Alligator mississippiensis: one gene and its partner. The protein of the gene in region 1 purifies or fractionates together with the protein of each later gene. This does not show direct contact. Links are inferred from orthologs where the notes say so. Each region holds a gene or a part of one and is shown on either strand. Other genes may lie near its edges. The genes, in order: SNX4 and SNX7.

Region 1 (7,150 bases):
GTGGGAGCAATGGGATACAGTGTACAATCCCACAATCATGCTTCCTGCCATGCATTTGTGGCATGCCATGAGGCTCAAATGTGTGGACTGCATATTAGATCCCACTGCACCCTGACCTGCAGGTGTAGAAGGGCTTAAAGTTTGAGTGACTGCTTATAGATCAAGTCTGTAACTCCCTTCAGAGACATAATTTTCAAGGACCAAAGAACACAGGATTAACAGTTAGATACAGCATATACTAGTAGGATTAGTTGTGCATCTGGAGCATCTCTCTCTTTTTATCATGTAGTCACGTGAAGAGGTTGTATTATTTATTTATTTATTTTTTTAATAGACAGATTTGGCATGACAAACAGGAAACCAATTCAGTTCTCTCACTCAAGTTGTGCTTGAACCTAACCAGAAGTTTAAAATGAAATGTTATTATCATTATCAGCTTACTGTTAGGTACCTTGTCTCAATGAGGTAAGCAGTGTAGGTTTCTTGCATGTTCACGGCATTTCTTCCAGTCCGTTTTTCTGCTTCTGAGACACTGATTTCTATTTTCTTCAATAAACAGTCTTCCATCTTAAAAAAAGAAAGGCTGCATATCACATCCATTACATAGAAATTGATTTGTTAACTATGCCTTCCTCTTTTCCCCACCCTTGTTACTTAGCCTGCAGAACTGAGACCTGTCTTACTAAGGAGATCAACAGTACTACCCAGCATGCAAAATTAAGTATATATGCATTTCTTGAGTTTAAGTCTTCATGCCCTGTATGTCTCGCCATACTTCCACATACAAAATTCCCTTGCCTGCTCTTGCGTCAGGAGCCAGACAGCTGTTGTGACATGTGGAACTCCCCTCCAGCCAGTCAGTGCTGGCCACCCACTTGTCTTTGGGCAAGCCGCCCACTGTTACACCTTGGTGGTAACTAATGAAGTTGTTAGTTATCGGGGCAGCCGCCCGCCTAACAAGGGCCTAATGTACATCCTCCAACCTCCCTTTATATGCATCCTAAGCCTCACAGATGGTTCTCACAGCTGTGCAACATCCCAGCAGTGTTGAGCCTCTTGCATTCTGCCCTGCTACAGGCCACATACACACCACCCCTCTCACTCCACCAGCTCTCACCCAGTCTATCACACCACCCTCTTCACAGCCATACTCATACCACCCTACTCATGGAGATCCTCGGGCACCCCTCAGTCAGCCCTGGCACAGTCTTTCAGGCCTCTCCCACAGCCCTCACCTGAACAGGACTGAGCGATTCACAAAACACTAGGCCAACTCCATCCTTTTCTCATGCCAGATATCACACCCCAGCTATTCCCATTAAGGAATGATGACACCCCGTTTAAAAGCAGCTCTCACTCCACCACCTCTAAGGCCTGAGGCCCAATTGCAGCCTCAGGTGCCCTAAGGCTTACCTGGACCAAGCCAAACCTCCTCTCCAGGGGCACAACCTACTCATCCCTCTCACCAGGGCCACAACTTACTTGGCCTAGCACCCAGCCTCCTCTCTGGAAGCACACACCAGGCCCTCCAACTCTCACCCCTTCCTGGAGCTCACGTGACTTTCACCCAACAGGCTTAGGTACCCCTGGCCCCACTACCCTTTCTCCAGGCTCTTATACCCCTAACGGGCTCAGGTGCCCCACATGGGCACGCCCGGCCCTACTTCCCTCCGCTGTTACAGTAACTCACTGGATGGTGGCGGCAGGGGTTTAGGCACCCCAACCCACCTTACACTGGGGAGGCTCTCAATCCCGGCATTAAAGCAGCCCTACCCTGCCAATGGCAGGACCACCAGGTCTCCCTACCCCAGCAGGAGGACAGTTTCAGATCATGCCCAGGACCAATGAAGCCTCCTCCATCCCCATAACCCCCACCCTTACCTCTAAAATATCCCTGATTAGCAAGAGAGCTGGGTGATACTACTCCCTCGACTGCAGGAAGCAGACTACCCTCTCTCCTGGCTGGGCTTTGTTTGAAAATGGCCACCCTCATCAGGCACCTGCAGGCTGCCTGCTTCAGCCCTTAAAGTGGCAAGCGCGGGATGGAGGTGCTCCGCCACCCACCTTCCCCCTTAAAATGAGTCCCGAGGGGGAAACTTCTCCCCGCTGCAATAGCCCCTAAGTGGCGAGCGCCCCCCTGGCGCTCTCTCGGCCACAGCGGTCTTCAGTCAACTTCGCATCTACAGCGCTACTATTCCTACGGGGTCTCGGCAGGAAAAGGTGCACAAAAAGTGGAGAATCCAGACAAACGTACGTTAAACCACAGGACGGATCCAGCGCGTCCTCCTAATGAATCACAATACAAGTTTAGCATCGCGGCCAAATTTCACCGCAAAATTGCACGCTCGAAGGGCTAGACGGCATCCGCTTCTGTCTAGGCAACGAGTAGAAACGCGACGCAAAATTCATATTTATATATTTTTTTTTTTCAAAAAATCAAGGCTTCCTACTTGCCGATTTAAGCCAATACCACGAGAAAGAGCAAGAAATCCTGGAAAATTAAGATAACGCTACGGAAAGTCGGGAGCCAGCCGGAGAGAGAAGTAACCTGAATAATGATCTTAGCGGCTGCATTTTTTAATTAACCGCTAATAATGAGAATAATGAGCACCCCCTACGTTGTCTTTGGAGCTAAACGTTGCTTTTTAAACGCACACTTTGTGTCGCGGACCGTCTCGCGCCGCCGGCTCCACGTATTCGGGGGGTTCGGTTCAAATGTTTCTCCCCACGCCGCAGCGGCGGCGAGGTAACACGTCCCAGGGGCTCCTGAGCGTTTGGAGGATAAGGTAATCAACTAGCACCCTAATGAGGCGGGGGCTAATTACCAGGCGACCCTGGCACACGTGCTGTGGGGGTCATGGGGACGCAGGGCACTGCTCCTGACAGCCACGGGGAAGGAAATAACCTGCGGTATCGGGGCACTTCGCTGCGAGGTTTGTTTTCTTAACCCAGGCCGGCCCCGCGCTGCCCCCTCGGCCCCGCCCGCTGGAGGGAGGCTGGAGGGCGGCGGTCACGCTACGCGAGCACGGGGCTCTGCCGGGCCTGCTAGGCCGCAGCGCCGCCCGCCCGCCCGCGCCGCCCCGGCGCGCAGCCCCCCTCAGCCCCTCACCGCTGCGGCTCGGCCGCGCTGCTCCGCCGCCGGCTCCTCGGGCGGTAGCGGCGGCGGCTCGGGCCCGTCCTCCCGGCTCCTCTCCATGGGCTCGGCCCGGCTCGCCCGCCCGCCCGCCGGCACCGCCTCCCGCACCGACACCGCCTCCGCCTCCGCCGGCCTGAGGCGCCGGGCGTCCCGAGGAGGAGGAGGAGGAGGAGGGAAGCGGTGGTTTGGACGGCTCCCCTCACACGCGTGTGTGTACACGTACACACACACACACACACTCTTTATAACCTTTATATAGAGCTCAGCTCGCAAAAGTTACGAGCAACAGCCCCTCCGTACTGAGGTGCGCGTTTCCCTCGCTTGACGCCCCTGGAAACTGGACCCGCTTTACCACATCACCAAAAAATGGCCCGGATGGTGCTGATCGTTTCGACCGCGTTTACGAGACGATTTCGGTCCTCGCCCGCCGCTGTCGGCGACTACAGGACCGCGTGGCGCCAGCAGCGAGCGTGGATCCGCGCCGGAGACTCGATTTCAGCGCGCGACGCCGCTGCCGATCGCGTCCGAGCGAATTTACCTCGCGGGTAACGAATGTTTGGTGCTACGCAGGCAGTCCTCGGCCTTGCGACACAATCGGTTCCTGAAAACCGCGTCTTAAGTCGAAACGTTACCACTTGGAACTGATTTTCTCATAAGAAACAATGTTATAAATGGAGGATCGGTTCCTGAACCCAGGCCCGATACCCTGTTTTCACTAAAAATACCCCCAAATTTTGTACTCGATCAATTATAGATGAGTAATATAGCTACATTCATGTATTTAGACTGTAAATAGCAATCATCTTGATTTGGAAGGACTTCTTTGAGGCGACTTTACTGGACTTTTCGAAGGCCTCTTAGTTGGACTTGTTGAAGGGCTCTCGGCTGGAGTCGTCTCGGGAGTCTCGGCTGCAGGTTTTCGGGAGTCTCGTCCGCTTGCTTAAAGAAAGCGTCCAAGGAAGCGTGGACAGACGTTCTCCAGGGAGATGAGCGACGCAGCGAACTTGTTCGCTGGCGTGGCATTGCATCGGATCGTCGAAACTGGCGTTGTAAAGTCAAAACAGGGCGTCAATTTATAGACGTTGTAACTCGAAACGTTGTAAGTCGAGGACTGCCTGTACTACAGCCCTTTCACAGCATCTGATGACATTCACTTGGGTCCACGAAAGCTTGTGCTCTACATCGATATCTAGCTGTATAGATAGAGATATCTCTACGCCTGTATCTCTATATGTCTGACATCAAGCAGAAGGTAGGGTAGATTTGCACCTGAGAGATATGTGCTTTTCCTGGTTCACACAGCATGGCGCTCAGGCTCTTTGTCTCAGCCTTGCTTATTAACGGGTGCTCAACACTACCTTAAGGTGACTGCATCGATTCATGTCTGGGATTTCGTGGGGCCAGGGGGAGGATGTACATAAATGGTAGCACTGCCGAACATAGCAAAGACACTGCCTTTCATACCACGTTCCAGGTCATGCATCCCAGGCTGCCACTTGTAACCACATTGCATCGCTATTTAGTTTGTGATCCCCCACATCCTTTCTGCAGTATTAGTATCTAGCCAGTCAGTCTCCATTTTGTATTTGTGTGTGCGAATCTTCCTTCCCTGGCGCTTCTCTTTACTGAAGTTCCTCTGGTTAATTTTGGGCTATTTTTCCAATGTATCAGTATAATTTTGAATTCTGATCTTGTCCTTCAGTGTGCTTACAACCCCACTCAGCTTGCTGACATCTTCAAATTATGTAAGTGTTCATTTAATTCCATGATCCAGGTCATTAATTCAAGTTTTGTATGGTACTGGGCCCAATAGAGCCATCTTCGGGATGCCACTGGACCTCTCAGTTTGACAGCGAACCACTGACAATGACCCTTTGAGTGAGGTTTTTCAACTGTCTGAAGGTGAGTTGAGAACTGTGCGCCCACCTTCCTCTAGACCAGCAATTCTGAACCTTTTTCAGTCGACGTACCCCTCGGTCTCAGAGTGAGACTTCACTTACACCCTAACGTGACTGAGTGATGGGTGTTCGGAGTGACGTTTCTGGTGTGAGGTTGAGGCATGGAGCAGCAGTAGGATATCTGGTTTCCATGTGCATGCGTGTCTTATGGCAGTAAAACCCCAGCAATTTCAAGTTGCCAAGATGTTTTTTAAGGCCCTTCAACCTGTGTTAGACCATGTATGAGATATATCTCACGTACCCCTGATGAGGCTTCACGTACCCCCTGGGGGTACGTGTACCCCCAATTCAGAACCACTGTTCTAGACCATATTTCTCCAATTTGCTTACAAGACGGTCATGCTGGAGAGTCTCAAAAAGCATTTCTAACATCAGGTTATATCACATCTATTGTTTTCCCCATATCCACCAAGCCAGTTACTCTGTCCAAGGAGGACATTAGTTTAATTTGATACCATTTGTTCTCAGTACAGCCAAACTGGCTGTTTTTATCAGCTTGTCCTGCAGCTGCTTATAAATTGATTGTAGAAAAAATTGTTACTGAATCCCTCTAGTTATCAATGCTGGCCTAGCCAATCTATAATTACCTCCTTTCTTCCCCTTTTGAAAGGTAGGTACTATATTTGCCCTTTTTCAGCCCTCTGGGACTTCACCCATAGTCTTCAAGTTCTTGGACATAATTGCACCTGGTTCAAAAACTGCTTCAGCCAGCTCCCTAGATATCCTACAGTGAATTTCATCAGGAACTGTTGCTAACTTGAATACATCTAACATATTGAGGGGTGTTGGTTGTAGCCATGTTGGTCTAAGGACATAGGCAGACAAGGTTCTTTGGGTGAATTTGATATCTTTTTTAGACCAACTTAAACAGTTGGAAAAAAATATATTTTTTTTTTAGCTTGCTAACATTTTTTTCCCAACTATTTAAGTTGGTCTAATAAAAGATATCGGATTCACCGAAAGAACCTTGTCTGTCTAACATATTGAAATATTCTTTAACTGTTCTTCTCCTGTTTTGTGGCCTGTGCTTGTGTCCACTTGCTAACATTAATTGTGTTATGTACCTGGTCATAATTGTCTTTTATTGTGAGGACTGAAGTAAGGAGGTCTTGAATACTTTAGCCTTCTCTGTCTTGTCCAGTATTTGTCCTATTAAAATAACAGATTTGTTCTTATTCCCTTCATGCTTGTGCAATTCCTTTATGTTCATTTCCATTTCCAGTTTCTATACAATCCATTCTTAATGTTCAGGTCATTATAGACTTTTGATGCACCCATATAGGTCCCTTAGGTAGGATACTTCCCATCTTTCCTCCACCTCAGGATAGATTGTCCTTGTGTATTTTAACTGCCAGCTCTCCTTTATTCCTTAGATTACCTTCTAAAGAGGCCCTACCTATTACTTTCCCTGCTTTTTGAAGCCCATTGTCATTATTCTGCTGCTCTCATGCTTTCCTTTCCTTAGAATAGCAAACACTATAAGTTCATGATCACTGTTACTTAAATTACCTTCCAACTTTCAGTTCTCAAGAAGTTCCTCGCTGTTAGTCTGAATCAGATCTCAAATAGTCTCTCCTAAATGACTTTTTCCCCTACACAGTCAAAGAACATTACGTGCTCTCTGTCCTGCTATAATTAAAGTCCAGGCCCTATTTTTGGGTACTTCTGTTAGTCGTTCAATAAAAGCCGCATCCTTCCCCCCCCCCCCCCCCCCCCCCCCCCACTTCAGGTGGAGAGAAGACCTGTACCCTGACATTACACTTGCTTCTTTTCCCTTTCTACTTTTATGCAATGACATAAATCAACTCTGCATCTCACTTCTTCCTAAACATCAGAGCAACCATATTCATTCTTGATATACAGTGTAATGCCCACTCCTTTTTTGCCACCCTTCCTCTAGAACAGGGGTGGCCAGAGCTACTTGCCCTGGGAGCCACATCCGATCCTCCACCAAAGTTCAAGAGCCGGAGAGCCCGGGGTGGAGTGGGGAGGGTGCTGAGTGACCCGGAGTAGAGGTAAACCCCCCCCAACACACACACACCCCACCCCTCCTGGC
Region 2 (7,252 bases), on another chromosome or scaffold:
TAATTATGATCAGTCCTATGTGACATCTGACCCCAAACACATTGCACTGAACTCTATCTCAGTATTAGCTGACTACCTGGGCTATTATTCTGAAGTGTTATCAGATTTTTTCTTTTACTTTTTTTTATGATCCACAACTCATAAATGATTCATGTCTGCAATCTCCATCCAGAGGTTACAATCCATGCAATCAAAACAAACCTAATGCTGATACAATAAAATGTTACTTTCCATAAATTTGGTAAGCAAATCTATAAACCTTTTCAAATAAGAAAGATATTTAATGTCTTCTGTCTGTAATCTGACACTTCAGTTTTAATTTTGTAGACTTAGAAACTTGAGGCTCATAGGGTAGGTGGCTATTACATTAACATCCAATATACTGTATCAGATTTGGCCAGGACAGTCTCAGATTTCATGGGACAGTCCTGGCCAGTTGGTGGAAATTGAAACAAAAGTCCTGGAATCTCAGGGATGTGGGGGGCAGTCTGGTGGGGAGGTGGAGCAGCATGATGTTCTAGGCAGGTGGTTGGGCAGGCACCACTACTGTTGTGCGGGAGCAAGCCAGGTGGACTGGAGCAGTGCCCAGCCCACCTCCAGCTGCTGCTCAGGAGGAGCCAGGCCAGGCATGTGTGGGTGGGGTGGCACCTGCTCCAGCCTACCTGCCTTCCTCACACAGCAGCAGGGGTGCCTGTCTGCCCACCCACCATACCATGCTGCTCCACCTCCCCACTGGACTGTACCCTGTGCCCCTGCCTGTCTGCTTTGGCCTGCAACAATGCTGCTGACTTGGGGAGGGGAAGAGGGCAGTGTCCTGGATTCCCCTAAAAAATGGTCACCCTACATGTACATTTATTTTCTTTAGTCTTTATTCAGCAAACAGATTTAGTAGCATATTCTCTACCAGCACTTAAGTGGTAAGGAAAAAATCACTTTCTGGTATGTTGGATTGATATATTAATGCGCTGAGTAAAAGTGTACCTGCATATACTTAATTTCTTTTTAAAGTTTTATTTCAGCTTCTACACTTTAGAAACATCACTGGGCATTTCACCAGTTAAAACAAAAAATCGTATGTGGGGGGAAAAAAAAAAATTACCAACCAACAAAAGCCAACCGGTTGGAATTGTAATATTTGTTCATGCAAGAGGGAAGAGAACTGTATCCATCCAAGGTGTGAAAGCACAAAGGATTCTACAAAACCATAGTACAATAAAATAAGGTCATGGTGTTACCGCTCAGGCCTTGTATGCAGGCACCCAGACAACACAAAGGACCACTCTTTTTGAAGCCAAATCCAAAATTAGGCCCTAAAAAGCAAGTAGCCTGCAAACTCTTTCAAATGCCTACCCCTATTATTACTACCAACATAGTGAAAAATTGGTCGGGCCTCAATCATAAGATTTGCTTTGTTGGGGTTTTTTTTTGGGGGGGGGGGGGCGGTTAAACTAGATTTTGAGCTTTTTGGATAACTTCAATCATGTTTTCAACCCTTTCATCCTCTTTCCCAACTGATTATTAATATTATAGACTCCAGGAACTGGAGTATTAGACAACAAATATCAAGAGATTAATGATAAAAAAGCAAAAGAGTTGGCAATGCTGGCTTCCTACAGAGTGGTTCCATTGCAGTCTGAGATTATTGAACACAGTTAATGGTGTATCTCCGTGTGCACACATTTAATCAATTTATTGCCTTGGTACCAAAGCAAAATATCAGTGTATAAATTGAGAAAAATAGATAATATACACATTTTAAACTGTTATTGGAAAAAAAATTGAAACTATTCTGAAATGCGCATATTACAGAGCTTAAATATTGCAGGCACATTACATAACTGAAACCCACATAGTAGTCTAATATAGATACATACATTTGTATACAAGTCCTGTAACTTAATCACAAGTCCCAGTAGTTATTTATTTACACTTACTGAAAATTATTAAATGATCATTTTAAAGAGGAGTTGCCTATTAGATATGTCAACACAAGCAGTCAAGACAAAAATCTCTAACAGATCAATTGCTTCTGGAAGTTTAGGAGCACAAAGTTTAGTACAGGAAGGGCTGAAGGATAACTAGGCTTTCCATGAAGTGTACCTACTGGTTCCTGCCTCTACCTGGTAGGCTTTTCATAGTAACACAGACTCACCCACGCCACCCAGGCCAACTGCTTGCATGATAATAAACAGCAAAGTGAGAGAGTGGAGTTTGCGCCCATGGACAAATCTACCAAAGAGTGCCGCCCAACCACAAATGCCACCATAAGGGGAATGGTTGAGAGACAGGCTTTTAGTTTCCAAAATAGCCACTGAAGAAGTGGCTCTACTTAATTTAATGTGGTGGGGAGCACCTCAAGCAAAGACGAGAAGTCATCCAAGGGCTCGCTCCTTAGCTGGCAGAAAGGGAGAAGGAACTTGGCAGAGGCCGTGGAGACGCTCTGCAAAGCCACGCTCTTTCCCTCCTTAGTTCCCAGATCATCTTGGCTCTGTCCTCCAATCCTTCCAAGACTGTTGTAATGAACTGTTGGCTGAGTGTGGTTTATATTTTGTAGGCTAGGCTCTACAGATTAACGTGGAAACTATTTAAAGCCACAAAACCCTTCTGTATCTAATCGATGGGGAATGTGAGAGAAGAACACCTCTTTTCCCCCCTTCCCCCCACCAAAACACCATGGCAGCACTGCGGGTTTGTGAGCGGAGCCGGCCTTGTGCCTGCCTGCAGGCTGTTGGGGCGGAAGCCCCCTTTGCCGCGGCGGACAGGAGCCGGGGCAGCGGCAGGGCTGGACGGCACAAGGCAGGAGCGGGCCAGGCGGCCTCGCCAGCTCCCAGCCACCGTGTCCGCCTCCAACTGCGCTCCGCAGCCGGCGGCGAGCGGGGCCCGGCTCCGAGGAGCTCTCCGAGGGCAGCAGCAGTGTCCCCGTGTGCCAGGGCCGGGCCGGGGCCCGTGCTGCTGCCTGCGCTTTGCACACTTGCCAGGGATGCGAGGCAAAGGGCAGGGAGGGCGCGCCTCGCCCCCTACCTTGCTGAAGACCTCCAGGTCCTCCTCGTCGTCGTCAAACGCCAGCACGTCCGGGGAGCCGGGCGGCTCGGCGCAGGGCGGCGGCGGCGCCGCTTCCCCGCTCTCCGGCTCCATCCTTCCCCGCCGAACCCGGGCGGCCGCTCCGCTCCCCCGGGCGCACCAATTGGCTGCCTGCGGCGCCCGCCCCGCCCCGCCCCGCCGCAGCGCGCAGGACTGGAAGCGGCGGCCGAAGGGGGAGCCAGCCTGGCCGCCCTCCCTTCCTTCCGCCGGGGGCGGGGACCGGGGCCGCGGTCGCGGCCGCGAGCTGCGCGGGGCAGGGAAACGCAGCCGAGAAGCTGCCGGGGGCGGGGGCTCGAGGGCAGCGCTTGCCAAACTCTTGACACTGCGCACCATCTCCTAAACACGACACAGCCGTCAGTACCGCCACCAGATGTTTCGGTTCGACCTTCAGTACCACCAGCAAACTTTTGTCATATAAAGTATGATAAAAGTTTGTCATATAAAGTAATGACAATAAATCTTTTAGCGCGCCCCACTGGCGGGTTGTGTGCGTGGCGCGGCGGGCTGCGAACCGCTGCTCTCGGGGCCTGCCTGGGCTGCACTCAGCTGACCTTGTTCAAAAGTTCGCGTGTACACACCGTGCACGTACTCCCTACACAGGCACACGCGCACCCTTAGTTACTCTTTTGGCCCAAATGATGAATTCGGGGGCTTACACACTCTGTGTGTCTCTCTCTCTCCCTCTCAGTTTCTCAGGGGCTTACGCACACGCACAGTTACCCTCGAGTAGACACACATGCATCCATACACCGTTACTCCGCACACGCACTCACACACAGTTACTCCACACGTGTGCACTCACGCACCCTTAGTTACTCCACACACACACACTTTTAGTTACTCTTTTGGCCAAAATGATGAATTGAAGGGGGGGGGGCGGGTCCTACGTCAGGGCTATTTGTTAGGGCAGTTCTGTTACTGAAGAAACACGTACACAAAGTCCCGCTTCACAGGCGCAGAGGACTGCAGGCAGTTTCGTTCCAAGTGAGCTGGGTGCCTATGTTCTGTTTCTCCCCCGCGCACGTTCACCACTGCTGCTCTGCCTCACTGTCTCTAACGCACGCAGCTGTGAAACTAATCTACAGGCTTCTGCATTAGCAATCATAAAATATATGGCTTGGATCTGACCTGTCATATCCCTTGGATAGTCTTGCTATGTTTGTAGCTGTCTCCTCTAATGAAAGGGCCTAATTGCTCTTTCTGTTGACCCTGAAAGAAGGCGCATTCATTGACTTTATGAGGTCAGGGATTGTCTTTGGGTCACAGACTCACTTCATAGCACCTACTGCAACTTTCACATACCAATACATTACATCCAGAGAAAGACATTAAAAATGTTAAAGTTGCAAAGTCAAGTATTCAAAAATTAGAAGATACCAGTATTAAGGCTGCCCCACCGTACCTAAGTCATCACCCTTGTGCTTATACATTATGATGTGTTCTTTAATTATATGACTGTATACTAAATTTTCCACAGCACTCTTGCCTCATTCAGTGCAAAGCGTGGATGGTTCTCTGCAAATGAAGCCAAAATATGAAGCAGATGAGGCTGTTATCTGTAGAAAATTTGCCTTGTTTATTGCAGAGATGGTAAGATGCATGTGGATTTTGGAAGAAAAGAAAGGATGTTCGTATTATTTGTGAAGTTGAATGCCACCTTGGAGAACTGGGATCTCTCTCTGCCTGAACCACAGGATCTCTGTCTGATGTCAGGCAAATCATTAAACCAAACTTTTCACAGCTGGCCATCATAATTTGTGCACCACATTTTCTGGATGTCCAATGTGGCATACCTAAATTCAATGGGAGTTGTGTTTTAAACCTAGAATGTAGTATAAAATTCTAAGGGCATGTGTAGGTGAAACAAGGAGCATGTGTGCATGACACTTTAAAGTGGGTTAAATGCTTTGGCACCGCTTTAATGGTGTTGGTGTTTGCACATGTCAACAGTGTATTGCTGCCGGAATTGCATTAATTCCAGCCACTGTAGTACATTCAGTGGCATAATGCGCCTTAAATGACTTTAGGGTGCAGCAAACTAAAACAGCTCCAAAGAGTTTGCCCTATAGCTGTGGAGAGAAGCACCAGGCTCCATCCAGTTCAGGGGCTGTGCAGGCAGCCTGGCAGCAGCCCGGGAGGGCAGGCTCCACCAAACAAAACAAAAAAGCAGCAGCCTGATCTTTTTTTTTTCCCCACTGGAGCCTGCCTGTCTGCATGGGCTGTGTAGGAATCCAGTCCTTCCCTCCGCAGCTGCAGTGCCCCCCAGGACCGCCTGAGCCAGGCACCTGCGGGCGGGTGCTGCCTGGGATGGGGGGGCCACCACTGCCGCAGAAGAAAGCACCAGGGTCCCACCCCCCGCCTACAGCCCAGGGACCACTCTGCCTGCCAGCAGCTCGCCTTCCCCTCTCTGCCACCAGAGAGACAGGTAAGATACAGGTGTACACAACACAGGGGTTTACTTTGTCCTAAATTGAAGCAGTGTTTTTAAAAACCCACCGCTTCAATATAGGGCCCCCGTTTCATCTACACACACCCTAAGGCACTAGATGCGTGCAGCTGGGAACCCTAAATCAATGGACAGTTTTGGTCTTACTTCTCTGTACCTCAGTCCCTGCTTGGAAAATGGGAATAATAATATTCCCCACTCCCAGAGGCGTGTTATGAAAGTAATCTATTCACATTTGTGAAGCAATGAAGAATAGCCCATGAAGCAATTCATTAGTATTCAGTGCTGCACAATAAATGAGGTCTTGGGTCATGTATTAAATGAGACAGATAAAAAAAATTGGATACTTACTTGAACTTCATTCAAACAAGGGAAAAACATGTGACTATGTAATCAAAACCAATATCATCAGATGTACACACAAGGGCTGAATAAATATTACCTAGACCTGATTTAAGGTTAATTCTATCACTTCCTAATTGTGGACTTTCTGAATTTATAAACTTAACCAAGGTTTGAAATATAATTTCCTGACTTAAAAAAAAAAACCTGAGCAATTCTAGTATAAGGATCAATATTCATTTTCAACTAATGTTATCACTTTTCTATTCAAAGTGCTGCTCTACCATGGAAATAACAGAGTAACTGGTAGCAGTAATAGTGGTCTGGCCACTAGAAGGAAATAAAATATGCACTTTTCCAGTGAATTTCACAGCTGTTTGCAGACAGCAGAGAAGTGCAGACTCAGGACTCTTGAGGAGTATCTTTTACTCTGGTGCTCCAAAGCCCTTTCCGTTCCTACTTCTGTCCAACAACCTAACCAGCCTCCCAGCCCTTGACCTCTTCTACTGTCCCTAATCTGTCACTAATCCTCCAGCTCTTAATTAAAGCTAAGAAATATGTTGGATGCTCATTTGAAAGCCATCATGCACCAGTGATAAGCTTTGCGCAGCCAATCATCTGATCACTTCTGTTTAATCTGAGTAGTGGACAAAAGTTTTTTGCCCTCTTTATATTCGTATTGTGAATACAAAACATTATATTGCGAACCTGTTGGTCTTCTTTTAGCTCTGTGGTGCTAAAATTATTAATATGTTTATATTCAGATGCTATGCAGAGAGAAAATACAAACAAACAAGAAAAATACATTTTAAAAGAACAAGAATTCTAGGAAAGAACACATCAGCAGAGGAAAAACCCAATAAACTAAGGAACACTCAGTCAAAGAGAGGATAAAACTGATATACTGTAGCCTCAAATGCTAAGGCTCTCATCTGTATCTTTCCAATTTTTCAAAGTTTTACAGATCTTGGTTTTTTATTTCTGTGCGAGAGAAGTCTCACAAGTTACTTTAATTGGATTTTTCCCTTATTATAGCTTTTTTATTATCTTATTAATCAAGCTTACTGAGACATGTATTAAGATTCCTGACTGGTAGTGCTTATCTCTCTCTGTTTTATCTATATTTGAAGTACAATCTGTGAGAAAAAGGTATTCATTGTACTTCACTCTAGGAAATTGCACTCTTGCTGTATTTAATACACTTATTTGGACTTCTAATCATCTCAAGGACTTACTGTTAGAAAAGCAGAAGCCATATTGCCATTGCTGTCTACATCCCTGCTGTGATCACTCAAAAAGGAGGTCACATAATAAGGAGTGAAAGTAAATTTAGAGAAGCATCAACTTACACAGCAGTTGTCAATGGAATTTCCAGCAGCTCAC

What was found.
Region 2: the proteins of SNX4 (region 1) and SNX7 purify together in Homo sapiens (affinity purification with mass spectrometry; 3 studies listed by BioGRID and IntAct, counting the BioPlex papers as one, with this or other methods). This does not show direct contact. The link is inferred for Alligator mississippiensis from reciprocal best matches to the Homo sapiens genes SNX4 and SNX7.

The regions. Positions count from the first base shown.
Region 1 is NC_081827.1:243,929,809-243,936,958, reverse strand, and holds the start of SNX4 (sorting nexin-4), read right to left. Parts: upstream 3,244-7,150; 5' UTR 3,197-3,243; coding exon 3,110-3,196; intron 3,004-3,109; exon of another isoform or gene 2,906-3,003; intron 2,788-2,905; exon of another isoform or gene 2,656-2,787; intron 1,969-2,655; exon of another isoform or gene 1,882-1,968; intron 568-1,881; coding exon 452-567; intron 1-451. UniProt on the Homo sapiens protein: Involved in the regulation of endocytosis and in several stages of intracellular trafficking. Plays a role in recycling endocytosed transferrin receptor and prevent its degradation.
Region 2 is NC_081828.1:36,735,403-36,742,654, reverse strand, and holds the start of SNX7 (sorting nexin-7), read right to left. Parts: upstream 3,185-7,252; 5' UTR 3,136-3,184; coding exon 3,022-3,135; intron 1-3,021. UniProt on the Homo sapiens protein: Involved in the regulation of endocytosis and in several stages of intracellular trafficking. Together with SNX4, involved in autophagosome assembly by regulating trafficking and recycling of phospholipid scramblase ATG9A.